Linked DNA regions of Saccharomyces cerevisiae S288C. The gene in region 4 interacts genetically with the main gene of each other region. Each region holds a gene or a part of one and is shown on either strand. Other genes may lie near its edges. The genes, in order: RPN10, RAD27, RAD54 and RAD52.

What was found.
Region 1: mutations in RAD52 (region 4) and RPN10 together harm fitness more than expected from each alone (negative genetic interaction), as found in Saccharomyces cerevisiae (5 studies listed by BioGRID, with this or other methods).
Region 2: mutations in RAD52 (region 4) and RAD27 are lethal when combined (synthetic lethality), as found in Saccharomyces cerevisiae (13 studies listed by BioGRID, with this or other methods).
Region 3: mutations in RAD52 (region 4) and RAD54 together harm fitness less than expected from each alone (positive genetic interaction), as found in Saccharomyces cerevisiae (9 studies listed by BioGRID, with this or other methods).

Annotation. Positions count from the first base shown.
Region 1 is NC_001140.6:496,595-503,876, forward strand, and holds RPN10 (proteasome regulatory particle base subunit RPN10), read left to right. Parts: upstream 1-2,484; coding exon 2,485-3,291; downstream 3,292-7,282. Other genes in the region: AIM18 (Aim18p), read right to left, coding at 1-686; AIM46 (Aim46p), read right to left, coding at 896-1,828; NBL1 (borealin), read right to left, coding at 1,977-2,125, 2,193-2,265; PPX1 (exopolyphosphatase), read right to left, coding at 3,356-4,549; SMN1 (Smn1p), read left to right, coding at 5,794-7,282. UniProt on the Saccharomyces cerevisiae protein: Multiubiquitin binding protein.
Region 2 is NC_001143.9:221,941-229,709, forward strand, and holds RAD27 (multifunctional nuclease RAD27), read right to left. Parts: upstream 3,936-7,769; coding exon 2,787-3,935; downstream 1-2,786. Other genes in the region: serine/threonine protein kinase PRR1, read right to left, coding at 1-960; DNA-(apurinic or apyrimidinic site) lyase APN1, read right to left, coding at 1,412-2,515; DNA-binding protein ABF1, read left to right, coding at 4,630-6,825; KTI12 (Kti12p), read right to left, coding at 6,999-7,769. UniProt on the Saccharomyces cerevisiae protein: Structure-specific nuclease with 5'-flap endonuclease and 5'-3' exonuclease activities involved in DNA replication and repair.
Region 3 is NC_001139.9:190,441-199,633, forward strand, and holds RAD54 (DNA-dependent ATPase RAD54), read right to left. Parts: upstream 5,964-9,193; coding exon 3,267-5,963; downstream 1-3,266. Other genes in the region: Ca(2+)/Mn(2+)-transporting P-type ATPase PMR1, read right to left, coding at 1-28; CUP2 (Cup2p), read left to right, coding at 689-1,366; YRB30 (Yrb30p), read right to left, coding at 1,538-2,860; SUT1 (Sut1p), read left to right, coding at 7,698-8,597; YIP5 (Yip5p), read right to left, coding at 8,770-9,193. UniProt on the Saccharomyces cerevisiae protein: Plays an essential role in homologous recombination (HR) which is a major pathway for repairing DNA double-strand breaks (DSBs), single-stranded DNA (ssDNA) gaps, and stalled or collapsed replication forks.
Region 4 is NC_001145.3:208,138-216,163, reverse strand, and holds RAD52 (recombinase RAD52), read left to right. Parts: upstream 1-2,233; coding exon 2,234-3,649; downstream 3,650-8,026. Other genes in the region: NDC1 (Ndc1p), read right to left, coding at 8-1,975; SRC1 (Src1p), read right to left, coding at 4,009-4,593, 4,720-6,639; AMD1 (AMP deaminase), read left to right, coding at 7,304-8,026. UniProt on the Saccharomyces cerevisiae protein: Involved in DNA double-strand break (DSB) repair and recombination. Promotes the annealing of complementary single-stranded DNA and by stimulation of the RAD51 recombinase.

The DNA.
Region 1 (7,282 bases), on a different chromosome or scaffold from region 4:
TTGGCCACATCGGGATGTTTAGAAATAGTTTTGACCAGGCCCTCCTTAAGATGCTTAAAATCTGTATTCCTTACGGGAGTTATCTTGGCTAGCATTCTCATTCCAGAATCCAGTAAGTCATCAATCATCATAACGGATTTTGAGTCATCACGTTTCAATAATCTAGCTAGATTCTCCTTAGGAGTCTTAGAATCATCCACATCAAGGAAATATTTATGTAAATAAGTTTCATTTAGAGTGTCTGAAACAAGGTTTTCGTCATTTTCAGCTAGATAAAGACCCAAGGCATAGACCTTGAACCTCAAAAACGTGACGTGCCTTTGACCATATCCCAGTAATTTAAAAGTTGTAGAGACAGGGAAATTTAAAGCAGTAATCGTTAGTGGGAAATCTGATACGCTAGAGTCTACCTGTATCGATTCAGTATGAGAAGGAAAAGCATCAGTTTTATCGTCATTTTGTACCGGACGATCACGGTAGTATAACGAAGTAGCGAGCAATGTTGACGCCGCAAACCAGGGCCAATAGTGGAACGTCGAATTAGAACGCCCAGGGTATTTAGTGGCTCGTATACTAGTAAAATTTCTTTTGAAACATTGCCAATGGTTGGTTGATGGAGATTTCTGACATTTAGCTAGTGTTCGCTGGAGTGATTTTAGCATATTGGCGCACCTTCCTCTGTCCATGAAGGGATTCTATCGCGGTTGTAACGCCGTAAGAGTTTTGAATTGATTTTTTCTTGTCAAAACCGAATAGCATTGTAAACATTTTGAGGGGTCCCTCCTAGAAAAATTGAGTCGAAAGGAAACTCAAAAAAACATCATTAGAGTATATGTGCAGCTTTTGGAACAGCGTATGTATTATGTAATTGTATGTAGAAGTCGGCGAAAGTGTCCTAAGATAGAGAGACGAGTGCATCGATTACTTCCTTCCTAGCCTCCGGAGAAGGAGGATCCACAGCAGCTAGGTAGTGGGCAAATAAGAGCTTTCCAATAAGGGGTTCCTTCACTGTGCCCAATATCACAAATTCATCCTTCTTTCTTGCGTAGTAAGACAAATTCATAGAGCAGTCCTTATTCAGCTCAATGAAAAAATCATCATCTCGAGCCACAAGTCCTTTTACGCTCCTGAAACAGTCATGCAATTCTTGGAATCCAGCTTCCAGCCGGTCTTTGTCTTGAGACTGAGAATCTGGGTTCTTTAGGACGCTCTTTTTGGTGCCGTCCATCAATAACTTGAAGGAACCTGCTTTTATCGGAGTATTCTTGGACATTAGTCTGATTCCGCTGTCTAAGAGGTTATTAATCAGGATAGGGGCCTTAGCAGGATCGTTCAAAGCCGCACGCAAATTATCCTGATGTGAGTTTTCCGGTGATGGGGGTGCCGCAGTGTCGATGAACGCCTGAGACAGGAACTTTGAGTCCAGTACTTCAGAGACCAGATGTTTGTCTTCAGCGGCCACATATATGCCCAGACCATATGCTTTGAAAGTGATCGATGAGACACAACGTACACCCTTACCAATCAGCTCATATTGCGTGGAGAAGGGCCACTGTGGGGGGCCCATCTTCTTAGGGAACGCAGAGATGGATGCGTCCACTGCAACGCTGGTGGCATCCGCCTTTTTGATCTGGGAATCGTCATACCATTTCTTCGCGAATATGGATGCCAGTGCTAACCCTGTTAACACAGGCACTACTTTGCTGCCCTTCTTGTTCACACGAGCATTGCCCGCTGTAGTAGAGTAGTGAGAATACCATTGTGGGGCCCTCCTCATACCTACCTCTAGGCAATTTGTTTTCACCAAAACTTTACTGATTAAACGCATGTTTCCATATACCTGGCCTTCTGCTAAGTAGACATGTATTCAACAAGGGGATGTAACCACACGCTGCTTTAATACCAACAAATCGGCCGCTGATTAGTAATAGGTGCATCATTGCGAATACCGAGAAAGGGTCCATTATACGAACTAATCATTCTATACGGCGTCCTTCCTGTTCAAGCACCTCTCTGATTAGTTCCTTTGATTGAGGCGCTGATGTTGCATCAGGCTGCTGGAGCAGATTTAGTTTCTTTAACGTCTCCTCTTTAATATTTTCGATCAGTTTTTCTGTTGTTTCCACTGAGGTTGTGTTAGTAATTAGTGCGGGTGAAGGTTGGGGGTAGAGTGTTGCGGTGAGGTGACATACGTTCCAGCTGCATTCGATGTAGTATTGCGCTGCGCAACTTCTGCCGTTCTTCGGGAGTGAGAGCCGGTATCATCGTAACCGAGTGCGGCAGCTGCCCTTTTGCTGATGTTGTTGCCACTTCTTGTTTACAATTGTATTCTCTTGAAGTTATATGGCATTATAGCTGCCGGGTTATTTCCGCCAGGCGGGTTTTCGCCACCGGAATTTACAACTAAATACACACTTATATCAGACTTTTAAAGCGTAAAGAAAGAAGGGAAAAGTCAATAAATAACTCAGCAGTAACCGCACAATGGTATTGGAAGCTACAGTGTTAGTGATTGATAATTCAGAGTACTCTCGCAATGGCGACTTTCCTAGGACAAGGTTTGAAGCCCAGATCGACTCGGTAGAGTTCATATTTCAAGCCAAGAGAAACAGCAATCCTGAGAATACAGTGGGTCTTATCTCTGGTGCTGGCGCCAACCCCAGGGTGTTATCTACGTTTACCGCCGAGTTTGGGAAGATTCTTGCTGGACTACACGACACGCAGATCGAGGGTAAGCTGCATATGGCCACTGCGTTGCAGATCGCTCAGCTGACTTTGAAGCATCGCCAGAATAAGGTCCAACATCAAAGGATTGTGGCATTTGTGTGTAGCCCAATAAGTGATTCTCGAGACGAATTGATCAGATTGGCAAAAACACTGAAAAAGAATAATGTTGCCGTGGACATCATCAATTTTGGAGAGATTGAACAGAACACGGAGCTTTTGGATGAGTTCATAGCTGCAGTGAACAACCCTCAAGAAGAAACTAGTCATTTGCTTACTGTGACGCCTGGCCCCAGACTGCTGTACGAGAACATCGCATCTTCACCCATAATTCTCGAAGAAGGATCCTCCGGTATGGGCGCCTTTGGTGGGTCTGGCGGTGATTCCGATGCCAATGGCACATTTATGGACTTCGGGGTAGACCCATCAATGGACCCAGAACTGGCAATGGCCTTGCGTCTGTCTATGGAAGAAGAGCAGCAAAGACAGGAAAGGTTAAGACAGCAGCAACAACAACAAGATCAGCCTGAGCAGTCTGAACAGCCTGAACAACACCAAGACAAATAGTAGTGTACAAAAATATCTATATGGGTCATATATAAACCAAATAAAGCATATATAACATCTCCCTTCACTCTTCCAGGTTTGAGTACGCTTCCTCTAAATAGGGGACGACTTGCTTTCTGGTGGCCTCGACGTTCAGTTGCTTAAACATCGCCACACCTCCATCAAGATTGCCCCCAAATAATTGAAGTTGGAGCTTGTCGCTAACCCTTTCAATGAGTTCACGTACCACGTTAGAGTCTCCCAATATGACCAATTCTCTGTGTGAATCACCAGCTTTCCTCCATGAAGTCAACAGAACCAATACATCGAGCCCCCTCTCCGCCTGAAATCTTCTGCATTGGTTGACGAAATCTGCTTCACCACCGTGTTCATTGAATAGCCAAGACATTCTTTTTACTATTGATGAAAGACCAATCTCTAACCCTTTGTGTCCCTTTCCTTGGAAATTGAATTGTTTGTAGTCCTTCTTTAGAATATCGCTTACCGAAAATCCTTTAATATCGTTCTTTCTTGATTTTATCTCTTTATAAAACTCACTGCTGTCCTCTAAACCTTGCGCAGACACTTCATTAACCGCACCACTAAGAACAGCTTGGCATCTCTCGATAGCTAATTTATCACTTTCCTCGACTTTGCGCCTCATATTTGAAGTGTCTATTAAGATGGCCCCCATCAAAAGTGGTGCAATGTTCATCACCACTTCACGGTCACCTTGCAATTTTTCATACCAGTAGTTAAAAACCAGCGATGAGCAACTGCCGGACACTTTTACAATCCGAGGTTCAGCATCCAAATGTTTTTGCAAGTCAAAATGGTGGTCTATAATGCCAACGACGTTATCTATATAATTTTTCAAATTCTTTGGTGTATCGTTATTATCTACCAAGTAAGAGTTTAATTCAGTACCCTGGGAGACATTTTGCTTCAAGCTCTTTAAATCTTCAATGAAGAATAATTCCTCCTCCTTAATTTTCAGTTTTTCTAGGACATACATTACGTCTCTTCTTAAACTGAGGTCTTCTCTAGGAATGTCGATAATTGGGACAATAAAGCTTCCTTTCTTTTTCTCCTCCGAGTAAGTACCTTCATTATATATGTATTGGCAGTACGAATAAGTGATTGCACTAGCAATTGAGTCCATATCTGCTGACTCGTTACCAACACATATTGTTAACACATCGTTGCTTGCAATTTTTGAAATTGGCAGTGATTTTAAGTGTGCCAAAAATTCAGGAACCGTCTTTCTCAAAGGCGACATCTTTCTTAACAATCGGTGTTTTGAACTTTTTGATTATTTGTTTCAAGTGGCTTTAGTTAATTATGTACACTTCGTTTCTTTTTTCTACTCTTAAAAGTGAAAAAAATGAAAAATCAGCGGCATGTATAGCATACAGATAATAGGAAAAAGGTTGTGAGTTATTCTTCGAGACTATTTCGACTCGTATTCTAAATTAGAATTCAAGTAGGTGGATAATGTGACAAAATGAATGAAGGTTAGAGCTTTACACAGAGTATTATCCTCGGCGTTTTCTATCAAAGCTTCTGGTTATTCCATACTTTTTTCAAGGACAGCAGAAACATATGCCATTTTACACCTCCTGGGAAAATAATTTGTAATTTTCTAGTGACTCAATGCTTGTTGAAAGTGATCTTGTATAATGAGTGTACACATGAGATGTGCAAATTTCTTCATTACTTAGCGAGAAGTGTACACTCTTGAATATAATAACACTAACAGTGGAATCATCGGTAATAATAATACTATTGATCGTAGTGAAAGCAAAACACGACTGTACTTGAGTTATAAATTTTGTTGCTGTAGAAATTTCAGTGATCATTCATTAGCAACTTATTAAGATGACGATTATATTTTACGGTTCTTTTCACAAACCATTATACTTGCTAAAGGTTGTAAAAGTCATACACTTTTTAACATCAAGATTTCAGTACAACAATTTCTTACATGTAAAATCGTTTGCAAATTAAGTTCGCCAAATTGTATCTTAATTAAAATCTATGTGTTCAGAAGTTGAATATTGGTAAAAAGAAACAAAATGTATAAACGAACGAAAAAGGAAGTGATCAAAATAGAGTAAGGAACCAAGGCATTAGGTTCACCCGAACGTTATCATATATACGCTCATATTATTCCAAGAAAGACACATTTGTCTAGATAGGTTTCGGTAAAGGCGTCCGTAGTTAGAGAGTAGATGGCACTAACTTGAAAGCAGGAAAACAAACAATTGTGTTCCAGAGCAAACTCGAACTTTCTATCTGAACCATTGCATGACGTAAAATTATTATTACAACCATAATGAAACATTTCTACAGTATATCTTTAATATTATTTTTTACTTTAGTGTCCTTATCGATCAGTCGCTCTTTCGCCAACTAGCCGCCAATTGCAAAAGCCGATAAGCTTATTTCCCCTCAAGCCGTCAACAAGAACTACAGCAATAACAAAGAGAGTGAATGCAATAAAGGTGTGCGCAACAGTGTAAAATGATACTAAAGCTTGTACACTGTTTAGTTGCTCTTACAGGATTAATCTTTGCAAAGCCGTATCAACAACAACAGGCAGTTTTAGCGCCGTCGCAGGATGTACCATTAAGAGATATCCATATAGGGGATATAAATTTTATCCATACAACCGATACTCATGGCTGGTTGGGGTCCCATCTATCACAAAACGACTATGATGCTGACTGGGGAGATTTCGTTGCATTTGTAGATATACTTAGAGAAAAAATTTTACGACAGTCCAGAGACGTAATAGTCATCGACACTGGCGACAAACGAGACGGTAATGGTTTGAGTGATGCTACTTGGCCCCCCGGCCTACGAAGCTCGGAGATATTCAACATGATGGATTACGATCTTTTAACGTTAGGTAATCATGAGCTATATACAGCTGAAAGTGCCATACTAGAGTATAGAGGAACTTCTCAGTCCTCAAAATTCAAAGACAAATATGTTTGCAGCAACGTAGAATTTATTGAAGATGACGGAACAAGGGTTCCTTTCGGGAATAAATACATTACATTCGAGACTCCCATAATGAAACAAAGAGTCCTGGCATTATCATTTTTGTTTAGTTTTCAAAGAGCAAATAACAGAGCCATCGTAACACCACCATTGGAAGAAATAACTCAAAAAAGCTGGTTCCAAAATATGGTTGAGACAAACAGAGAGGAGGAAATCGACCTAATTATTGTCTTTGGTCATTTGCCTGCCACTGACCCTACAGAGCGTGAAATGCACAAAATTCATGCTCTAATAAGGAAATACTACCCAAATACTGTTATACAATATTTTGGAGGGCACACTCATATCAGGGATTTTGTACAGCTGGACTCAAAATCTACTTGTTTACAAAGTGGTAGATTTGCGGAAACTGTGGGATTCTTGTCAATTAATATGACTGACCCTGTGGACGCCGAAAGTCCTATTTTCTCAAGAAGGTATATTGACTTTAACAAGGAAGCTTTCAAATACCATTTGAGCAAACTAGGGCATGACTCGAATGTTCCAGTCTCAACGAAAAAGGGTAAAACTATTTCTCGTTTGGTGAATGATCTGCGCCATGAACTAAATTTGAACGAGAAACTGGGGTACATTCCTCAAACTTACTACGTTTCAACAAGGCCATTAAACTCCGAAGAGAATCTTTATCATTTGATCACGCATAAGATTTTACCCAATTTAATTCCTCCCAAAAACTATGAACCTTCGATGAGTCGTTTCATTTTGATTAACACTGGCTCTGTCAGGTACGATCTTTACAAAGGCCCATTTACAAAGGATACTGAGTATATAGTGATGCCATTCAATAATGATTGGCGCTTCATCACAGTTCCATTGGTCGTTGCCTCCAGGGTGGAAACCTATTTGAACAAGGGCCCTGTCATTGCCTCATTAGGAATACCATCATCGTCTCATCACAAACAGCATTTTGGCGGTTTTCAGAAGTGTCCCTTCATCAATAATCCAA
Region 2 (7,769 bases), on a different chromosome or scaffold from region 4:
CATGACGGCAGCTAATAAGTCTCCTGCAGGACAATAAGACATAATCATATCACAAGGCGGCAGAGCTCTTGGAGTTTTTATAATCAAATCGCATAAAGGTTTTTTGCTAGTAACAAAAATTGGATTGTTTATCCCAAGTAGTTTAACTATACATGGGTGATTTAGTGATTTTAGCACCTGCAATTCCCTAGTCAGAGAATTTTCCAAACGGGATAAAGTTTCCTTATATCGTAACGATGTATTGATTTGTTCAACATTTGATAATTCCTCGGGATATTTGAGTCGTTTAACGGCCACTTGTTTCAGTTTAGGATTGCTTTGGTCCATGAGTTCATATAAAAGTACGGTACTAAAATTTCCTGAACCAATGGGCCTGACCTTTTTCCATAATAACGGGCGATCCCAGTGATCTAAAAGAAATCCCTGAAATATATCATCGTCACACTTTTCGGTAGAACTACTACTTTCGGGAAAATAAGGTTCTTTCGTGTAGTTATCACTATCAACAGAATCATTTACTAAAGCCTCTTCAGTCACTGTTGGTAAGGAAACAACCCTTTGGGGGGATAAATTAGCTGGTGCAATAAGTTCAGAAACAACTCTTTGGTTTGGTTGTGTAACAGAAAGCATATCATCCAGTAATCGTGCATGACTTCGTCTTTTGGGTATATTCAACGAGGATTGATCTATAGGTGACATTGACAGATTGCCTGGGGATAACGGAGTGTAGGTCATCGGTGTAGGTAATGCTTGGACATTTTCAAACGTCGGAATAGATACAGTCAAAGGTGTACTGCGAGAATCACCAGTGGTCCCTTCAGTGGATGCCATTTTTTTATCTTCCTCACCATTTTCATCAATCAATGCCTTTTCGTGTTGATCGCCAATGGAGTCGGGAAATCCTTCTTGTTTCAACCGAGGAGTCTTTGGTTGTGAATATATACTACTATATTCATCCATTGTCGGTATAACCTAACAGCTGCTGTGGGTATGGATGAATTCGAAGCGTAGATGTGATTACTATCTCAAAATATACTTGTCTAATTGTGTAAAAAAGAAAAAAAAGATAAAGAACACACCCCGCGTTGAAGATTACAAGTAAAAAACTTTCTATGCTTAGGAATAACGTTCCATAAGAGGATGGTGTGCTCAGCCTTCTTAGTTCATTTACTGGAATGTATTTAACTTTACCCTTTTCGTCTGCTAATCCATCAGTATGTGAAAAATGAAAATCTAAAAAAAAAAAAGGCTGCCTTATTCTGTAACGCAACGCGAAACATCTATAAACCAAGTAAGTAGTTTCTATGAAATGGGCAACAGCATCTTGGATGACGAAGGGTAGCATTTAGTTACGTACGTTGAGATAATCTACAAAAATTGATTACGTATTTAAAATTCTTCTCGCTTCTCATTATTCTTTCTTAGTCTTCCTCTTCTTTGTCATTTGTGACAAGATATCATTATCGCTTGGCTCTGCAGTGGCTTTCTTCCTCTTGGTGCCCCCAGCTCGCTTCTTTTGTTTAACCTCAAACTTGTCTAACTGTTCCTTACGCGATTTAGCACCTAATTTCTGCAGCGTATCATTTTTTTCTTTATACTCCTTGTCTTCTAACAATTCGCTCTCACTCTTTGATTCCAACCACTCCATAAGTTTGATTTCATTACCATAGCCTTCATCATTTTCGTATGGAGTTTCCAAGACAATAGGGATACCCTGCAGGTATTCAGAGTGCGCGATCATTCTAAACACATCTATACCCAAATAACCTTGACCCAAGCGTTCATGCAAATCTCTATTTGCTCCTAAAGGAGCCTTGGAATCATTTAAGTGAACAGCACTTAGATATTTGAACCCTATTACATCATTGAACTCTTTCCAAAAATTGTTAAACGTTTCAGTGGTGCTGATATCGTAGCCTGCTGCAAATGTATGGCATGTATCTATGCAAACGCCGATTCTTGATTTATCTTCAATCATTCCAATAACCTCCTTCAAATCTACCAGAGAACTTCCTACTAAATTTCCAGTACCAGCCATATTTTCTAATACAATTTTAACAAATTTCGTTTCCTTAATTGCTTTGTTCAAATATGAGGCTAGTTGTTTTAACTGCAACTGATGGTCTCCTTTCAAAGTAGAACCTGGATGTAAGTTATACAGGCCTATCCCTAATTGCTCACACCTGTTCAGATCGTCCATGAATGACTCATAACTCTTTTCTGCCTTTTCCCTATCCGGATTAGCCAAATTAATAAAGTATTGGCCATGCGGTAAGACGTCCGTCAATGGGTTATAATTGTAAGTTGCACAGTTTTTCTTAAATTTATCTATTTCCTCCTGTGTATACTGCGGAGAAACCCACTTTCTTGGAGATTTTAAAAACATGGCAAACGAATTACAGCCAGTGTTAAATGCATTAGTTACACTATTAGAAATTCCACCGGCACCTGACATGTGCGCACCAAATTTGTATTTCGAGACAGCAGATCTAACAAAGCTAGGTGTCGAAGGCATTACGATGGTTCCGATATGCCAAAAGCTTATTAATGTTGCGTTTTGTGTTTCTTATTCGGAGTTTGTCATCTTATATTTACAATGATTTCCAACATGTAAAGAAATGAAGAAAAAGAAACCAGGTAAGAATGAAAAATTCCACGTTCAAGTTCCCAGAAAAACTGGCAAAAAAAGAGAAGTATTAGATGAAAAAAGTTCGTGTATACAAATATCTATGTTACATATATGCCAAGGTGAAGGACCAAAAGAAGAAAGTGGAAAAAGAACCCCCTCATCTTCTTCCCTTTGTGACTTTATTCTTATTTTTGTTCAATTTTTTATTTTCTTGTGCTCTTTTCGCCGCAGCAGCCAGCTGTTCCTTTGTCTTAGGCACCACTTGGAAGAACCCATCTAACCTACCCTGAATGCCAGATTTCAAGCCTTTTTTCAATCTTGATATACCAGATTTAACTCTTTCTTCACTGAATTTCTTATCATCACATAAATACTCGATAAGTTCCTTCTCCTTTGGTGGCGACCATTTCAAGTTTATTTCGTTACCATCTATAACTTCAGGGTCAAGAAACAGCATTCTTGCTTGTTTGTAAGGCCAGTCTTCTGGGATTTTCCATTTAGTGTTGTTTGACTCCCCAGATTCAATAAACTCCACGATTTTTTCGATGGATCCATGCGTTTTTATCAATTTTAAGGCTGTCACTGGACCAACACCTCTGATGCTTTCACAGTAGTCACAACCAAGCATTATGCAAAGATCAACAAACTGCTCTATTGTCAAGTCGAGTCCTCTCAAAACTAATTCAGTATCTATTTCGTGAATCGGTTCCTTCTTGGCCTCTGAAAAAGTCAAATGTCTCAACAAGAAGGGTGTTCTATAACAGAGTGTGTCCATATCTTCACTTGCTGCGGCATACACCTTTCCCTTCTTTGCCAACTCAGCACATTGAGCCTCAGCTTCCGTTGGCGCTATTATATATGGGATTCCCATTAGTCCTAGTAATTTTTGGGCTTCTTCATTATGCTCTTTTGAGACCTTCACCAATCTTCTTTCTTGCTTCATCTTTTCCAATTCTGTTGTTGCCTCTGCCAGTTTTTTTTCTGTTTCCACCCTTCTTGAAGACCGCTTTGTCAACTCATGAGATTTCAAATCTGGAGGTTTGCCGTCGAAGACATAACAAGGCTTGATACCGTTATCAATCATTCTCAGTGTCCTATAAAACATACCCATCAAGTGTGACGTTGTTTCACCGGCTTCATTGGTCAACTGCCCACCGTCTTGCTGTCTTACAGCAATTAAAAACTGATATAGAGACATAGAGGCATCGATGGCAACCTTTCTGCCAAAAAAGCTCTTGATATCGCTTTTCCTGATAGCAGAGGGAACATGTTCCGATATAATTGCATTCAAACCTTTAATACCCATATTTTTTCTTCCGGTGTCCGTTTCCTATTTCTTTCCAATGTATGCTGTCAACGCTTTTCATCGATGTATATAAGGAAGAATACCTCATTATAATACATCAAAACCTTCATTTGCGCGATGTTACGCGTCGCGTTTCCTATAAAAAATACATAAGCTAGTGAATAAAAGCTTTAAACGCGTTAGGGGGATCTGCAATTAAAGTAAATAAATGAAATAAATGAAATAGATGAAAAACTGGTTACACTAATTATAACGTTAATAAAACTAGTTGATAATCAAAATATTGCCATAGCTAAGCCAATAGTACAGCGTTGGCTTTCTATCATAACTTACCAGCCGGGTGCCCAATCGGGTATCTGTCACCGAAAGTCACTGTTAACGAGGTGTGATTCAGCCGGGTACTAGTCTAGCATTTTTTTTCGCCTGTTTTTTTCGTGAAAAACGAAAAGTGGCAAGCAAACTTATATCACTTTCTACTTCTTTCCCTGTTCTTTTTGTTTATTGGCAATGGCCACTACCACATCCCCATTAACGAAAGTCACCAAAGTGTGTCATTTAATACTACGGTTAGTGACAGCATTTTGTTTAGATCTCAACTAGAGAGGATTATCAACTGCTAAGCCCTTTACACGTTATCTGTGATCCTGCTGCACTAGGAAACGTTTCAAATCACCATATTTGCAATTTCACAAGGATGGACAAATTAGTCGTGAATTATTATGAATACAAGCACCCTATAATTAATAAAGACCTGGCCATTGGAGCCCATGGAGGCAAAAAATTTCCCACCTTGGGTGCTTGGTATGATGTAATTAATGAGTACGAATTTCAGACGCGTTGCCCTATTATTTTAAAGAATTCGCATAGGAACAAACATTTTACATTTGCCTGTCATTTGAAAAACTGTCCATTTAAAGTCTTGCTAAGCTATGCTGGCAATGCTGCATCCTCAGAAACCTCATCTCCTTCTGCAAATAATAATACCAACCCTCCGGGTACTCCTGATCATATTCATCATCATAGCAACAACATGAACAACGAGGACAATGATAATAACAATGGCAGTAATAATAAGGTTAGCAATGACAGTAAACTTGACTTCGTTACTGATGATCTTGAATACCATCTGGCGAACACTCATCCGGACGACACCAATGACAAAGTGGAGTCGAGAAGCAATGAGGTGAATGGGAACAATGACGATGATGCTGATGCCAACAACATTTTTAAACAGCAAGGTGTTACTATCAAGAACGACACTGAAGATGATTCGATAAATAAGGCCTCTATTGACCGGGGATTGGACGACGAGAGCGGTCCTACTCATGGTAATGACAGCGGTAACCACCGTCACAACGAGGAGGATGACGTCCATACCCAAATGACGAAAAACTATTCTGACGTAGTGAACGATGAAGACATCAACGTTGCCATTGCCAATGCCGTCGCAAATGTAGATTCTCAATCAAACAATAAGCACGATGGAAAAGACGATGATGCCACTAACAACAATGATGGCCAAGATAATAATACTAATAACGATCACAACAATAACAGCAATATCAATAACAACAATGTCGGTAGCCACGGCATTTCCTCCCACTCACCATCCTCCATACGAGACACGTCTATGAATTTAGACGTCTTCAATTCTGCTACCGATGATATACCGGGCCCATTTGTCGTTACCAAAATTGAGCCCTATCATAGTCACCCACTAGAAGATAACTTGTCACTGGGTAAATTTATCCTAACTAAGATTCCAAAGATTTTACAAAACGATTTAAAGTTTGATCAAATACTAGAAAGCTCTTACAATAATTCTAACCATACAGTGAGTAAATTTAAAGTTTCTCATTACGTGGAGGAGTCCGGTCTTTTAGACATTTTAATGCAAAGATATGGATTAACCGCCGAAGATTTCGAAAAAAGGTTACTTTCCCAAATAGCCAGACGTATAACGACGTATAAAGCAAGATTTGTTTTGAAAAAGAAAAAAATGGGCGAGTATAATGATTTACAACCTTCTTCATCTTCCAATAACAACAATAACAACGATGGTGAGCTTTCTGGCACGAACTTGAGAAGTAACTCTATCGACTACGCCAAACATCAGGAAATATCAAGTGCGGGTACCTCATCGAACACAACCAAAAATGTGAATAATAACAAGAATGACAGTAATGACGATAATAACGGCAACAATAATAATGACGCCTCAAATTTAATGGAAAGTGTGCTAGATAAAACCTCTAGTCACCGGTATCAACCCAAGAAGATGCCAAGCGTCAATAAATGGAGCAAGCCAGATCAAATAACTCATTCAGACGTGTCCATGGTTGGCCTAGATGAATCAAACGATGGCGGTAATGAAAATGTCCACCCAACCTTGGCTGAAGTAGACGCTCAAGAAGCTCGTGAAACTGCTCAGTTAGCCATAGACAAGATCAATTCTTATAAGAGGTCCATTGATGACAAGAATGGTGATGGCCATAACAATTCGTCGAGAAACGTGGTAGATGAAAACTTGATCAACGATATGGATTCAGAAGATGCTCACAAGTCCAAAAGACAGCATTTGTCAGATATCACACTGGAAGAGAGAAATGAAGACGACAAACTACCACATGAAGTGGCGGAACAGTTAAGGTTACTGTCATCGCATTTGAAAGAGGTAGAGAATCTACACCAGAATAATGATGATGACGTAGACGATGTAATGGTGGACGTGGATGTAGAATCGCAGTATAATAAGAACACAACTCATCATAATAACCATCATAGCCAACCTCATCACGATGAAGAAGATGTTGCTGGACTAATAGGGAAAGCCGATGATGAAGAAGACCTTTCTGATGAAAACATTCAACCAGAATTAAGAGGTCAATAGATACCCAGTTGAGAAGACGAGCTATTTTTCTCATGTTTCTTTTGTTTATTCACTTTTCTATACTTTTTCTTTTCTATTGAAATATATATTATATCTTATGTATGTTTTTTTGTATTATAAACAAGCAAATTTCGTCTTGCCATTTACCTTCTGATATTAATCACATGTATATCTCAATTCAAGTTTTTGTTAAGATAATCAGCGAAAAGCGGACCGATCCTATCTTGATCTATATCTCTTAGTTTGTTGAAGTTAATGAATTGCCTTTTCAATCTCTGCAATTGCGCCAACGTAACGACGTTACCAATGGGCAAGTCTACGAAGAAGCAACCATCATCATTGATATCGGTAATCCCTTCGGAAACAATGACTCTTGTTCCGTTACTTACCCCGCCAATAGAAGTCAGGCTTTTGATGTGGTTCATTATGGTTTTTATTATCTTACTAGTTTCGATGTCGAGAACCTGGATGAAATTGGACTGAGACGCAGGCTTTAGTACCGTGGCTGAGTTCGGTTTTTGTAAGCCCTTACTCAACGGATCATTGTGTCCACTGTTTTTAGCCGATTTGGAAGTTTGAAAGACTACTTTACAAATATCGTCGATGTAGTCAGTTATGTTGTCCTGAGGAGTAAGAATAGCAAAGAGTGGAGAGTCCCATCGGTTGCTTGAGTTAGGCTCTTCGTATCGTTGAATCAATTGATTCAATAACTCGGGTTCCCAAGGGTTCGGGTTTGAAGTCTTATTCCACTCGAATATAGTCTCTGGTGGACACAGTGTTTGAATTACACAAAATGTGGTGGACAAATTTTTCACCTCGCAGTGAAGTTGATACCGGAAACCCTTGATATAATTCAACGAGTCTACAATGACTATCTTGTTTTTAGATAGATCTCTTTTCACTGCGGAGATGATCTCCGACCTCAATTTTCTTTCATCTTGGGA
Region 3 (9,193 bases), on a different chromosome or scaffold from region 4:
GACTCGCATTAAATGGATTGTCACTCATAATTATCTTATCTTTTACTTACACTTAAGCTTACGTCTGTGCTGGCCTTGCTTCGTCTTGTCTTGCCCAGTCGTAAGGATATTATTATAGTTACTAGTATTGTTATAAATGGGAATGGAAAGAACGGGGCGAGCAAACACTATTATGATGGTGTAGAAAAAGAGGTTTTTCTATTAAGTGCTTGAAGGAAGGGCTATAGTGTACGATGGCCTAGGGAACAAGATCTCGATATAACGATAGGTAGGGTCCACACTGTTAACAAAAAAAGTACTTCTTTAAATAGAGAATCTTGTCTTGATGTAACAAAATGAAAAAAAAAAAAAATGCAACTAGAATGTAGAATACAAAAGTTTAACGATCGGCTTTGCTGTTAAGTGGTTATCTAGGGATGAGCTGAACGTGCAATTGATACCAACCGATCCTTGCTAGGAACGCAACTCTTTTCACCCACCTTCCACCACTACGATCGTGAAAGAATATTTGCTAAGAAAATCGCCAAAACGAGGCGAAGTCGCCAGGGTGCGCGGGCACGCAGGGTAAGAGCCGCAAGGCCTGGTTCGGTAAGTATTAAGCTGTGGACGAAATAGCAGTAGCCATGGCGATGTAATTTATTAGACGGCGGCTTGATAAAAGAGGACTGATAATCAGTGTATTCACAGAATGGTCGTAATTAACGGGGTCAAATATGCCTGTGAAACGTGTATCAGGGGTCACAGGGCGGCGCAGTGTACTCACACTGATGGTCCGCTACAGATGATCAGACGCAAGGGAAGACCATCGACCACATGTGGCCATTGTAAAGAGCTGAGAAGAACCAAGAACTTCAACCCATCCGGTGGGTGCATGTGTGCCTCTGCACGACGGCCAGCTGTTGGCAGCAAGGAAGATGAAACACGATGTCGTTGTGATGAGGGTGAACCTTGTAAATGTCATACCAAGAGGAAAAGCAGCCGGAAATCAAAGGGAGGGTCATGCCACAGAAGGGCAAATGATGAAGCAGCGCATGTCAATGGTCTCGGTATTGCAGATCTGGACGTTCTTTTGGGCCTAAATGGTCGCTCGTCGGATGTAGACATGACAACCACATTGCCGAGTTTGAAGCCACCTCTGCAAAACGGAGAAATTAAGGCCGACAGCATTGACAATCTTGATTTGGCTTCCCTCGATCCGCTTGAGCAAAGCCCTAGTATATCTATGGAACCTGTTAGTATCAATGAAACAGGAAGCGCATATACAACTACGAACACAGCACTAAACGATATTGACATTCCATTCTCCATCAATGAGTTGAACGAGCTATACAAACAAGTATCTTCGCATAACTCACATTCACAATAATGCATCTGGACATCTATATAAATATACATATACATATATTGGCGGTTGTTTGTTCTCCCGGCAAGCTGGCAGTCGGGCCGAGATTCGGATAAATTTTTCCATTCGTATACATATACATAGATATATACAATTATAAAATTTGTCCAAGGCTGCACAGGATACGTAACCATCCTAAAGTTTTAGGTTTTTTAACTTTTTTTCTGTCTCTTCAATTGTCGAATTGCTTATTCTATCCTTTCTGGAGTTCGTATTTTCATCGTTCAAATATATAGATAACCTTTCATCACTCACTTCCAATATACTTTTCTGATCGTTACTTTGTAAGGACGTCAGCCGAATGATGTACTCCAGTAGTGTGATCGACGAATCCTTGTCCTCCAATTTATTTTCTTCTTCTTCTTCTTCCTTTCGTTCTTCTCCGTCTTTTCCTTCCTCTTCGTCCTCCTCTTCATCTTCCTCTTCATCTTCCTCTATCGCTTCATATCCGCTTACCGCATACCAAGTAATGTCATCGAGTAATCCCTTGTCTCCTTCACTGCTCTCATTTTCTTTGTCATCGCTCCGGTCAATCTTCAATACCAACACTGGAGAATCCTGTTCTTCTAATCGGAGAAGCTTACCGGAAACACTGAAAAACAGCTTCTTAATATGGTTCAGATCTATGGCAAGTTCCTGTGGTGTGTCTTCTTTGTCATCATCCTCATGATATCTACCGTCATTGAAGTCTTGTTCTATTTTCATAAAATAATCATACTTTCTGCCTGTAGAGTTCAATCTATATATCCTTGCTTTTGCACGTTTCATATCCTCTTTCCAAACAATTCCTGATTGCCCATTGTTTTCTGAAGTTAGGTTATAGAAAATAGAGAATAGTGTAACCTCAAATGTAGGCCCCACTTGAACTTTTAGAATCTCCTTGTCACCTGTTCCTTTCTCATTACTCTTCATTGCCTTTTCATACTTTCTATTGTTCTCGCTAACGAAATCGGAGGCTTTTAATAATAAACCAGGAGAAAGTTGATATGGGAGTGCGCTGTTCAAGTTGGCACCAGAAGTGGTTAAAGAAAGATTAATGAATGGAGTGATTTCTTCGATCCTCAATAGCAAGTCCTTTATATAGTTTTCTACCGCTTTAATAGCTTCATTCTGTGTTTTTGCGCTCCTGGAACCCTCAACTTTCTGCGTCATTTCGTTGATCTTCTCATCAAACCTATCAATCTCTTCTTTTAAATCCTTGGTTAACCTCAGAGTGATTTGCAAATTCGTGTTTCCCCTCGCCGCTACCAGCTTTATTAGGTCAATTGCACTGGATACAATAGCCATGCGGCTTTCCAGTTTAAATTTCAGTTGATCTATTCTTCTAGCATCATCCTTAGGAATCTGGACGACAAAGTTCGTTATTGTCTTTAGCGCATATGTGGATGCTATCGATATTCCGGATTTTATAGCAAATGTAACGGCTTGTGAACCTGCTTTGGCAAGAATTTCATCCATTCTCTTCAGATATTGGTGTTAGGTAATAGTTAAAGTTAATCCTTCTGAGAGTGTGAAACTGTATCAGATTTTTATTTCCCTGACAGCGTGAGATTTTCTTGCCATAATCTTTTTTGGCAGTTTCGGCTGGCACTTTACCACGATAAAACTGAAGATAATGAAAAATTTAAAAGCTAGCACAAGTATAATATGACATCGCTCAACTTTTTTTACCCTTAAGTTATACGATTATACTTTTTTGATTGAAATACATAGAGATATTTACCAATTTGGCCCCAATTTTCAATTGTTTATTACGTCTAAATATATATAACCATGCCCATCATTTAAAATAAATATGTAATGACCCCCCGACGATCGAATTCTACTTTTTGTTTTTGTTTTATAAGTACATGTATGTAAGAGATCAATGTGAAATATATTGAAATGCAAAACTGATATCATTGTAATGATGCTCGTTTTTTAGTAGATGATCATTTGTTTTTTCCAATGCGTCATGGTTCAAATGATTCCAAGTTGTCGCATCACCATATAACATTGCAGGGGCTCTCTTTAATTGTTTACCCTGAGCATTACAACGTTTACAATGGTATGTTTCGTGTGTTTCACATATCGTATTCTCATTTTTTTGAAACAACTGTCTTAAATTGTCAGAACTAAACAACCTTTCAACGTCTTCTTTCGCATCGACCACGCATGAACTCAAACTCATTTTCATAGATTGTCTTTGAAAGATTTTTTCCTCTATGGTACCAGTCGATATGAATCTGTAAATGAAACAATCCTTTTTTTGACCGTCTCTCCAAACACGTGCCAAAGCTTGTTGATCAGCAGCAGGATTCCAATCCGGATCCATCAAAATTAATCGATTTGCACCAATCAAATTGATACCACACCCACCTGCTTTAGAACTTAAGAGGAAGATGAACTCTTGGCCTTCAGGATCGTTGAACCTATCCACCAATTTTTGTCTTTTGTTAATTGACATTGTACCATCCAACCGTACAGCACTGTAGTGCTTATATCTACACATTTTTTCAATGAGGTCCAAGGTTTGGGTATAGTTGGAGATCAAAACAATCTTATCATCGGATTCGGTCTTTATCTTATGGAGAAATCTTTCCAAAATGGAAAATTTAGCTGAATATTTTGTTTGTACGTCCCTGGCTTTTGAACCCGGCATATTATAATCGTCAGGTAGTTCCAAATCATCTTCATCGTCAAATTCATCTTCAAAATTCAAGAGATTAGGGTGATTACATAGCTTCTTTAAAATACCAATAGCCCTCAGGGGCTGAGACCCACCAACACCTTTTACTACTTTTTTCACTTCTCTTGACTTAATTAATTTATTGTAGAGCTCGTTCTGCAACGGCTTCAAGTTTACGAAAATAACGTGCTCATACTTGCAAGGCAAATATTTGGCCAAAATATCGTTAGTACGACGGATAATAAATTTGGAGACAATGGTAGATAGCTTCTGTAATTGCGCCTCGCCCTTTGTGATTTCTTTATCAGTAGCATCAGCATCACGCCCTCGCAAAATTGGATTCTCAAAATTTTTCCTAAATTCTGCTCTGGAACCTAATAAGCCAGGATTCGAAAAACTCAGTAGAGCAAAATATTCGGAAAGATCGTTTTGAATGGGTGTACCAGATAATATAACTCTTCTAGGACAACTGATGCTATCCAAAGCTGTGAATGTTAAAGAGTCACCGTTTTTCAAACGGTGCCCTTCATCTGCCAGCATTAAACCCACATTGCAGTTTTTCAATTGATCAACATTTCGACGTAATGTTTCATACGATATGATTAAAACGGGCTTAACAATATTTCTTCCCTGTGCCTGAGCCCAGGCATGAATAGCTTGCGAAACTGTTGTATTACCACCACCCATTGAAGATTTTTTCCCATCAACCGCTAACGGAGTTAGAGTATTGGGACCCAACCATTTTATCAATTCATTAGCCCAGTTGTTGACTAAAGAAGATGGACAAACAATGATACATTTGTCGATAAGTCTTTTACCCTGCGGGCCCTGTCTTAATAATGTCCACATAAGTGCTATACACTGCAATGTCTTACCCAGCCCCATTTCATCGGCCATGATGCAGCCGTAGGCCCCTCTATTGTTTTGTTCAGTCTTTTGAGATTCAGTAAGTGCCTTCTCGTCGCTCTTTAAGGGATCTTCGCTTGAAGTGTTGAACGCCTCAGCTTCTAAGTAATCTTTCATGACAAGCCCTGTGACACAACGGTATAAGAATCTCACCCCTTCGACTTGATGGGGTCTTAAAATCTTGGCCAGTTTTGGATCAATAACCACAGGGACACTAGCAAATTTCTTCTTGTTTTCCGCAGAGTTTTCCGAATCACCGAGTAGCTCACGTAACGGTTTGTTTCTCACACCATTTGTCATCAAAGCTGGATGGCGTCCTATTCTTTGTGTGGGTCTTTCTTCCTGGCTATTCTTTTCCTTGTTAATATTATCCTTTTCCTGTGTGCTTTTGATCATTTTCTTTGATTCTTCTTCCTTGTTATCCATAGATGTGTCATGGACAATCATTTCACCGTCAACGGACGGGTCATAAAGCACTATGGCAAATTCGTCTGTAGGGTCATGTAGAGGTCGAGGTTCTGGAGTAATTTTTTTTTTCATTCCTAACGTTAATGGCAGACTGTGTCTTTGTACATATCCCTTGATTGGCACAGTGAAAGATCTTCTCAAAGTGTACTGGATATGACTCAGTCTTGTCGGATCCTTGGCCAACCTTTGAGCACTAAGAGCATCCTTCCGTCGTTTAGTCAACTGAGAAAAACTTATGTCTTGGCTGTTGTACTCTGCTTCGTCCGCATTTATATCCAAGCCGGAATAACATACAGTCGCTGATCTTTTCCTCAAGCTCCTTCCTCCTACGATATTATCAGACCCGGTGGCGATTCTACCAGCAGCGGGCGGGATGTGCGTGTTCTTGTACGGGACCCTGAACGGTTTCGTTAGTCGGTTCACCGAGTCTTGTACGTTAATAGGCCTAGGTACCAGTCTCGGCCGTTCACCGGCTCCTATTCCATTTGGTGGTCTGTCTGGTAATCTGCGTCTTGCCATCAGTTATAAGGAAATATATATGGTACCTTGAAATAGAGCTAAGTTCTGAGCGTTTGATTTTTCTATACTTTCGTAGCAGCTTTAGTGAAGAAAGAGAAAAGTTGCTGCTCTAGATTTTGTATCGGCTATTACGTCAAGTGAGAAGAGTTTTGGCCTTCGCTTCAGTTAGATCTTCTATTATTTCCTTTTTTTTCTTTTTGTTTGTAATTGTTTTTTATTTTTTTTTTTGCGCGAAACTTTGCTATATTGGGTAACGCGTAAAATACTTTTTATTATTGCAGTAAGGCGGAAGGGTCTTCCCCTTTGCATGTTAAATAGCATACATGGCACCACTCAGGTCCAGAACGTGACACATCTTTGCACCACTTGTGTATTTTCAAGATGTTAAATTTTTGATACATAAGCTTTATCATGCAGGTGCAGTAGACGCATTTGCGTACGCGTTGAGTAGTAATGCAAGAACGCAACAATTTCACGCTTTCTACTTAAGAGGACAGATCTTCGAGCAGAATATTTTTCTCCTAGCGCGGCTTTCAGAATCTTCTTACCATCTGCAGGACATCACATGCAAGCACATGAAGCTGGAACCACGCACCATTAAATGTAAACCTACAGACATAGCTAGCACAGAAATGCTACTTTGGAAACCTCGGTTGCATCGGCTGACCTCGGCTGTTCAGCAACGTGAGCTGGTTGTTGTTATTGTTCATAGAATCCTGTATTTTACCAGTGTAGCTTTGTCCGCCCACCCCACGCTTTTGGCCACTAGTATGTACGTATATGCGTGGGCTCTATATCATTGAAAACGAATTTTCCACGCAAAACCCACTTCACACCATAAAGGCCTTATGACGATGTACATTCTTCCCCTCCCCCCTCCTCCCGAAGGAACCCTTATAGTGATCCTAATACGGTATAACGTAAACCGGAGTTGTCAGCAGAGAGAAGCGAATAATATGTTTTGCGTGGGGTTCCCACGAGCGGCAGGAACCGTAGCGCATTGAAAAATGAATCATCGATCATCTTTGGGTTTCAAGGGTTCGGACTTCGCCAAAGGTCCGAATACTTCCACCAGTATTTCTCTTTTTCCCTTTCCAGTCTCGTTCTTCGCCGAATCCCCGCTTTCCCATCATGATCGTTTCTCTGTTTCTCTCTTTCCGGAACAGGCTCTTTTCTGACCGCCAGTTCGTGCGGTTAGTTCTGTGGATCTTGCAGGCACTTGCCGGTTTAGCCACACTTCTCCGCTGTTTGTGTCGAATTTCCCTCGAGTATGAGAAAGACTGGACCACAAAAGAGGGAAAAAAAATGGGCCGATTTTAAACCATTATAGGTCACAGAAAAACTTTCTTACGACGGTGGTTTTTCAACAATACGTTTCTTGAGCAGGAGAGGAGCTTTGTTCTTTTGCCTTAGTTTTTTTTGTCTTTTTTTGTGAGCCATCCTGCTGTCGTTGCCATACATGACAGATCCACATTTGCCTTGTTGTTTTTAGTTTTTGTTCCTTGCACCATATAAAAGCGTCACTTGTATTTTCCTTACTCATCTAAACTTCAAGCTTTTTCGTCATAGTAGGTTTGTGATCTCGGCAAAGAAAAAAAATTTTTTTGCCGATCTTTCTGGTTATTGTTTCAGGTATCTTTATGAAAGTATTAGTGTACGCACTGGATTTTTGGTAGGTCTATAAAAGTGCAACACATAATCTAAATCATTGAGGTCATCGTATGTCAAAAGAAGATGTCCACAAGCATTACAGTAAGAAATAGAGATCGATCGCTACCACCGCTATTGCTCCCCAATGTTTCCCTGCTAGAAAAAGATATACGGCGTAAAGGCACCCAAAATGTGGGCATCACCGATCCAGAACTCTTGTCGACCACTTGGACGAGGAAGCGGGCTTTTCCGACTGACGAGCTTTTAGGAGGCTATAAGAGATTAAAGCCTGCTGCCGCTGACAGTAATGAGTGCGCTATTGGTATTGCCACGGTGACGCCGCCGCCAACGCTCCCCGTAAGTGCGATTGTTCCCCCTCCACAAAATTACACTCCACCATTGTTTGAGTATCATCCTCATGCTCTTGCTTCCATGGTCAATGAAGACGCTAATGCGTCATGCACTCAAATGTCTATAATTTCGCGCTCAACGAGCAACTCGACAACCTCCTCTGCCACATCTACTAGTTCAATTTCCAAGAGACAAAGAAGTGGCCCAAGTTGTGACAAATGTCGTTTGAAAAAAATAAAATGTAATGCGAAAATTGAGATTTTGCTTCAAGACGATACTATAATGCCAATGATCTCGAACAAGTTGCGGTACGTCTTGACTCCTGACGATATTCGGCTATATCGAGGCACGCTGTTGCGGAATATTGCCATACCGGATGATGTCATTGAGGGTACAGGCTCACGCAAGTTGATTAAGCATATTGATAAGTTGGTTTTGCTCACACCTTGTTTACCATGCATTAAGAAAAAGCATTCTTCTTCTTCCACTAATTTCCCAAAAAATGATAAATGTACTTTTTCAAAAGGCTTTACCAGAGCTGACATAAACATTTCATCCAAAATCTCCTTAAAATTTAAGGATAAAACCATTTACGACATAACCTATGATGACTATAAAAGCATTGATTTTTAGACAAAGGCATCTCTAATGAATAGCATCACAAAACTTGCATTTAGCATTAACATATATGGATATATATGTACACACAGAAAACGTATAAACACTCATGTATAACCCTACATAATAAGAGTATACAATGATACTAGTCATAAAAAGTATTGTGTGTATAGACGTGCGCATATTTTCAAAATATTATAAACCTGAACAATAGACAGAATAAAGTATGCAGCGCAACGACAACGATGATGGACAGCGAAAATTTCCCGTTCGATTGTGTCTCCGTATTATTATTACTCGATATTTGAGAATTCAAGAAATAAGACGACTGTGCCCACCCAAGAGCCACAATTGCCCATTGAATTGCTTGAACAGTCCTCAGGCGCTTGGACATATCCAATATATTCAATATAACACAAACGGGTATCCAGATCAAGTTAGCGTACCCGTAAACGGAAATCAATTCAGGAACACTTTTGAAGCTTCTATTGCGCTCCGAGTGCTCATCTCTATTCAATACTTGCATGGTAATAAATGGTACGCCGAACGTGTACCCGTAAAATAGCCAAATAGAATGCAGTAGCTTCTTAAACTGACTGGCCCTGTCGATG
Region 4 (8,026 bases):
AATTGTATTACGTAGCATTAGGGTTGCCTGAGGCGTACACTTCTAGAAACCAGTTCGCCAACTTGGCCACGTCTGCATCCAAATATACGTCGTTCAGAGCAACATTGTATTCAAGTACAATCTCCATAAAAGCACTGGTGGACAGCTGATAAAGAACACTGATCATGTCAGTAGTGTCTTTCATGCTATCTTCGTCTTCACTGTCTTGTTGTACTCTATCTTGGGCTGTCCTTTGTGTTTGGAAGGCAGTGTATGCCATCGATTCCGGATCCCAATCGGCAAATTCACCCAGTGCACAGATGGACCTCTCCAAAGTCTTAAGAATATCCCCAACGGATGCAATGATACCGCCTTTTGGATCTTCTGTCTTTGATCGGATCAGCAGTCCTGTCAGTGCTACCACACTATTTGCGTGGCATATGGGCAATGGAACCAGCTTCTCAGCTTGCCTTTTCTTGGAAATGGACCATATGTCAATTATCGAGATTTGGGCTTTGTTGGAGCCATTTGGTAATAGTCTGTAATTGTCGCTTTCATCAGATGATTGTCTTTCTGCGTAGGAAGGGAAAATAAACGACATTATAGAATTTTTCAGTTTTTTTAACATCAGACGCATAGCGGTCATAAATGTTGTTTCGTGGGTGAAAATAGAGCCGTTAAAAGTTTGTGTCGTTTCATCTAAATCGTTGTCGTAATACGAGGACCTATGCCTTTTCTTGTTTCCGCGGTTAAGCAATACACTATCGTCAGTTCTTACCCTCAGCCTGTTTGGTGATTCATCTAATAAGCCGTTATCCCGTAATGGCGCCATCATAGAGGGTCGGTTCCCAAAGAGTCTTTCGTTGGCGCTTGTTAGTTTCCCGTTCTCATACATATAATCTAGATTTTCTACTTTTTTTTTATGTCTAGCAGTTGCAGAGCCCCCAAGATCTTGTACTGATCTTAGGTACTGCACAACCTTTTCATTGTTTATCTGAATGGTCTTCAAGCATTCATTGAGGATTAATGACCAAGTATTACCACTACTGCTTCTGAACTTGGAGTGATATATTGGTGCTCGCAATGATGGATCCAGTGAAGTGGCCCTATACGCTAGTTCCTGGTAGGCAGTCAACCTAGTAAATGGCTTGTCTGCAGAAAGCCCACTAAGCAGGGTTTCCATCGGCGTCGACGACAAATTCGAAATTAGCTTGCCCTTGTGCAGACAACCTATGGACATATGTGCGTCAAATGCTATATTTATGAATTCGAAAGTGATGAAGATAATGCAGGAGATTATTAGTAAATTTGTGACAGCTAGCACGCCATTCGTAAATGAATCAAATAATCCCGATTTTTGCCTGGAAAAAAATACTGTGGTAAAGATTGGTAATACGAACATGCTGATTACACTTAGAATGACTGACTTCTCCATAATCCTCTTGACACGCTCTAATACGTAGTCTTGTGGGGCCTGGAAAAAGTTTTCGCAGTTGAACGACAATTTGTCAGCGTCAGTGACATGATGTTGTAGGTTGTAAATCGTGGGAACGACTAGCCAAATAAACAGCTTATAGTATGGCTTCCATCCAGATCCGCCACGTCCGAAAACCACACCCAGTACGAATGATAAAAGGATGCTGCCCATGCTATAGACTCCCTGGTATACAAGAAACTTTACTGATAACAATTGGCCTAGAATGAAAGTAAGTGAATTAGCGAACCCAAAATTCTTTACATGCATGTAATTTTTTCTTGTCACAATGATCAAAAGGGAAACTAGGTTAAGAGCTAAAATATTGGGAATAAATGCCAATGCCAGTTCCCATAACGGTGAGTGTGGCAACGCCAGCAGTGAAATCACCACAGTTTGGATAATAGAACATATGAAAAACAACCTCGTAACTAAATGGTTGAATCGGGTCTTGCACACGTCGCTAAAGATGGTATGGTACGTGTACCGTGGATTCAACAACTCCCTTGGCGTCTGTATCATCTGCTTGCCCTGTAATGTCCTTTCGTCTTCTCAATCACACTTACTCATCGCCAAAGAGTCTGCTCTTCCCGTTAGTGATTCTCGATGTTATTATATTCTTTAGTCTGTTAAGAAAAGACGAAAAATATAGCGGCGGGCGGGTTACGCGACCGGTATCGAATGGCGTTTTTAAGCTATTTTGCCACTGAGAATCAACAAATGCAAACAAGGAGGTTGCCAAGAACTGCTGAAGGTTCTGGTGGCTTTGGTGTGTTGTTGATGAATGAAATTATGGATATGGATGAGAAGAAGCCCGTTTTCGGTAACCATTCCGAGGACATACAGACCAAATTGGACAAGAAATTAGGACCTGAGTATATCTCCAAGAGAGTTGGGTTTGGAACAAGCAGGATTGCATACATCGAAGGTTGGAGAGTAATTAATCTTGCTAATCAAATCTTTGGATATAATGGCTGGTCTACGGAGGTAAAAAGTGTAGTTATCGATTTTTTGGATGAGCGACAGGGAAAGTTTAGCATAGGGTGTACTGCAATTGTTCGTGTTACGTTGACTAGCGGGACTTATAGGGAAGATATTGGGTATGGTACCGTGGAGAACGAAAGACGGAAACCTGCCGCTTTCGAAAGGGCCAAGAAATCTGCCGTTACGGATGCCTTGAAAAGATCTTTGAGAGGGTTTGGTAATGCTCTAGGAAATTGTCTTTACGATAAAGATTTTCTGGCAAAGATCGATAAGGTGAAGTTCGATCCGCCAGATTTTGACGAAAACAATTTGTTTAGGCCAACGGATGAAATCAGCGAAAGCTCAAGAACGAATACTTTGCATGAAAATCAAGAACAACAACAATACCCGAATAAAAGAAGGCAATTGACTAAAGTTACAAATACCAATCCCGACTCGACGAAGAACCTGGTGAAAATAGAAAATACAGTAAGTCGAGGTACCCCAATGATGGCCGCACCTGCTGAGGCTAACAGTAAAAACAGCAGTAATAAAGATACTGATCTCAAATCTCTCGATGCTTCCAAACAGGATCAAGATGACCTTCTCGATGATTCTCTTATGTTTAGCGATGATTTTCAAGACGACGACTTGATAAATATGGGCAACACAAACAGTAATGTTTTAACGACAGAGAAGGATCCCGTTGTAGCTAAGCAAAGCCCAACTGCTAGCTCAAACCCAGAGGCAGAACAAATCACCTTTGTTACAGCTAAGGCTGCAACTTCCGTACAAAATGAACGTTATATTGGTGAAGAGAGCATTTTTGATCCCAAATACCAGGCACAATCCATTAGGCACACCGTTGATCAGACTACGTCCAAGCATATTCCAGCGAGTGTGCTAAAAGACAAAACGATGACCACCGCGAGGGATTCTGTCTATGAAAAATTTGCACCAAAGGGAAAACAATTGAGCATGAAGAACAATGATAAAGAACTGGGGCCTCATATGCTAGAAGGGGCTGGGAATCAAGTACCGCGTGAAACCACACCAATTAAAACGAACGCTACAGCTTTTCCGCCTGCAGCTGCTCCACGGTTTGCGCCGCCTTCTAAGGTAGTACATCCTAATGGAAATGGTGCAGTGCCAGCCGTTCCGCAACAAAGATCGACACGAAGAGAAGTTGGAAGACCAAAGATCAATCCCCTGCATGCACGCAAGCCTACTTGAAACGCTTCCTGGCCGAAACAAATAAAAAATTTGCATCATTATTTATTACTCCAAAATCCTCTAGTTACTCTTTCAATTCTGATTTTATTTGTATTTCTTCCTATATCGTCTAGTTTTTCTTTCCTCCATGTGTCGTATTAATATTTACTTTAAATCGAATAAAAAATTCTTATTATTTTACAAGTCATTTTCAGGATTAGATTCATTATAACTTTACAAAAGTATTACATAAAGAATTATATAACAGATATTAGGATAACCGTATAAATAGAATAAACTATACAAATATGGCAACTCGGAAAAACAATAGATCATTAAGTTTGAGAAGAGAAAACTACGTTTGAGTTTCATTTTGTGGGTTATATTTTGTTTTCAGCGGAATCCTTAGGTTCATTGAGTTCCATCGGACCTATCCATTCCCAACATTTCATTATTTCACCTCGAATTTCAGTTAAGTTCGATTTAATATTACTGTTATTATGCTCTAAATATTTTACCACTTCTGACCATAATTGATTTTTGTATTTCAGATCGACAATATCAGAAAGAAAGATGTCACGCAATTGAACTATGCTCAAATACGCGTTTTCTTTCGGATCGGACATTGATTTAATCTTTTGGAATTTCAATTTTTCCATGGTTTGAGTAACGAGTTCTTCAATTCTTGCCTTCTTTCTATAATAATTCTTCAGCTTGATCTCGATTACTTTACTAATGACTATCAGTAAAAACATTAGCCATATTGGCCTTTGAAATTTTTTATACGTTTGGTAGATTTCTCTTTCAAATCGACACTTCATTCCAATGTATTTCTTGGACGTCGACCGAAAATTCCTCGTCTTGGAGATGAATTTTTCTGGAAGATGTCTCTTCTGTCTCGGAACGTCATTGGTTTTAATGATGTTGTTGGAATTTCCGCCAATGTTGTTGTCAGTGGGTGATAACTAGAGAAAATTAGGAAAAGATGTTAGTAAATAAATCAAAAACAAAAAAAAATTCAAAAAAAATTAAAACTGTTATCATATAATAACAGGTTTAATAATTTTTGTAAGATAATAAATTGTACTCACTTGCCTCCATAATATTTCTGGTTCTTCAGTTAAATCTTTGATAACTTGGATCCACAGGTCCTCAAATTCATCGTCGCGAATCCAAGGAGCTCTAGCCTCATTAAATATTTGATAGAGGGCATCTTCCGTCATACCACTCTCGATGTCGTCTTTTCCGTCACCGCATGAAATTTGTGCATTTTTGGCTCTCAGAAACTCTAAAGATTTTTCAACCACTTCGGAAACTAACTGCTGTTTTTTGTCGTCTTTAACACATTTGCCTTGTGCAGGAATAATTTCCAAAAAGTCAAGTCTAGATGGTGCTAACTTGTAATCTGGCTTACATTTAAGTTTCAAATAAGGATAACAAATACCATTGGGTGGACAAGGGATACATTTCGGTCTGTAGTCCTGCAACAAATTATCCAGTTTTTGAATAAACTCGAAGGAATTGCCACTAACTCGATGGGATGGTACTTCATGCCCACAGTAACCTATGAGCAGTCTTTGCTCTCTATACCAGAGGCCAAATAAGAGAGGAATAACAATGAATATGCAAAATAAAAATAGCGCCAGTAATGATTTGCTCAAAAATTTGAGTGCTCTTTTGAACTTATGCCTGTTCCCGACCTTCCCAGATCCTTGCTTAACATCAAATTCACTCCCATTTTCATGCTCTAATTGCTCATTTACTTCCTCTTGAAGTTCTTGCACTCTTGCTTCACACTTTTCGACGTCTTTCTCTGTGGGTAATTGGGGAGTCTCGATCCTTGTAGGCACTAAAACTTCATCTTCATCCGATACCAAGTTACTACTATCTGTATCTATCATTTCGACCACATTATTGCTGGTATTACCCATAGGCTGATGAGGACCTGGCGTGGTGATCTCTGGAAGCAAGGGTGCTTCCGACTCTGAGCCAGAGCCTTCGGACGAAAACAAAGACGGTGTTCTTTCACTCTGAGAAGGTTCTTGCTGTTCCACTTCTGGAACCAGTATTGTAGATGGTACCTCCTTTTGAGGCAATTTATCCGCAAATGAGGCAGAAACTTTTAACTTACTCAAGGGTGTGCTATGGCCTGTTCCATTGGCAGTTCCGAGCTCTTTTGGATTGTGTCGTATGTTCGGTACAAATGGATCATTTTCCGTACCGCTTGAAGTCAACGAATCGTTAAAATTATCCATGCTTACTGGCTTTCTATTTGTGTTCTTTATTGGTGTTTTGACGGAAAGTTTTCCTAAAATGGCAGAGCCATTTCCATGCTCTTGGTTCAAATCACTCGTCTTACGCTTTTTTGCCTTCTGGTAATCCTGTTCAATTTCTGAATCTGATGATAGGAGGTTCAAATGCTTATTATCGATTTTATTTTCCTTTGAATTAGATTCAGACCAGTCGTCAGAATCAGGGTCTTTCCTTTTCTTACGAGTATCGGAATTTTGCTGGAAATCATTGGTGTCTGATTTGTTGGAGCTTGATGTTATCACATCATCCTCTTCATCGTCCACTTCATCGGTATCCGTTCCACTAGGTACAATTAAAGGATCGTCTTTTTTATCATTGTCATCATCATCATCATCATCATCATCATCATCATTACTTACATCATCCAGTATTCTATTCTTCTTAAACTGTTTGGCCATGGGGGAAGCAGATTTCTCCCTGCGAGCTCGTCTACTTCTACGAGGGGAAGCTATAGATGGGGAAGATGAGGGACGGTCCATTTTCACAATACCTTCATCGCTGGGCCGAACGTTCAGATACATTTTCCGTAACTGCGGGATCTGCGGTTTAACCTTTTCATCGAACAGCCCCACCAGCGCATTTTTCCTAGCATTAGATGGGAAATCGACATTATTTTCTACCAATATCCTCCTCAAAGTCGCAACTTTCATTGAATTCGGATCAAAACCGTCCTCTAAATACTCCAAGTCACTATTCATCGCGGCACTAACTGAGTACTGCTACCGTTCTACTGTTTGTTGTTCTGGCCTCTACGTTCACTCCGTATGGTCTCAGTCTACTATTAATAATGACTGAGGACTATTTCTCTTCCATGTATTCCGCATAGTATATTGACAGCTATACAAGTAGATCGATGTCCAGATTAGCCACCACAAATTGAAACCAAAACAAAAACAAAGGGGGCTTCCTAAAACAGTAATTTTGAGGGCTCTTTAAAACCCTTGATTTCCGTTCAGGGTGATCAATATATATATCCTAGTTATTTTATAGATGCCCTAACTTTATTTTTAGGGCACGTGGGGGTCTTCTCTTTTCTTTTTTCATTCCTTTTTCATCTTTTTTTTGCGCCTGGCGATGATGAGAAAGGAGTTCTAGTAGCACAAGGTTTAAAGGATATTATCAAAAAATAGATAAATTTTAAAAAAAAAAAAAAGGCATCTCTTGACGACTTTTCTTCTCTCTCTCTACAGGCAGAATTAGCAGCGTTTCTCGTATACTAGTCAATTATCGGATATTAATAGTATTTTTATTATAGTCTCCCTGCTATAGCCAATTTTGATTCAGCAAAACTCGATTGAACTGCTAGTACGCCAGATTAATAAATTATATAACAAATAAAAAGGGGGCATTCTAAAAAAAATTATGGACAATCAGGCTACACAGAGGCTTAACGACCTTTCTCTAGAACCAGCTCCTTCACACGATGAACAAGATGGTTCAGGACTAGTCATTGACATAGATCAAAGAAAGATTGGTGATGAACAAGCTGGTGTCGTAGTGGATGATGAGACACCCCCCTTAGAGCAGCAAGATTCACACGAAAGTTTAGCTGCTGATTCTCGGAATGCTAATTTCTCGTATCACGAGAATCAGCAGTTGTTGGAAAATGGCACCAAACAGTTGGCCCTAGATGAGCATGATTCTCACTCTGCCATCTTGGAGCAACCATCGCATTCTACCAATTGTAGCTCTTCCAACATAGCAGCGATGAATAAGGGCCATGACTCGGCAGACCATGCATCTCAAAATTCCGGGGGTAAACCGAGGACCTTGTCTGCTAGTGCTCAGCATATCTTGCCAGAGACGCTCAAGTCATTTGCCGGCGCTCCGGTAGTGAATAAGCAGGTACGTACCTCTGCCTCCTATAAAATGGGAATGTTGGCTGATGATGCTTCACAGCAGTTTCTTGATGATCCCTCTTCCGAGTTGATTGACTTGTATTCCAAAGTGGCAGAGTGTAGAAATTTGAGAGCCAAATATCAGACCATATCTGTGCAAAACGATGATCAAAACCCAAAAAATAAGCCAGGCTGGGTAGTCTATCCACCACCACCTAAACCTTCATACAACTCAGACACTAAGACT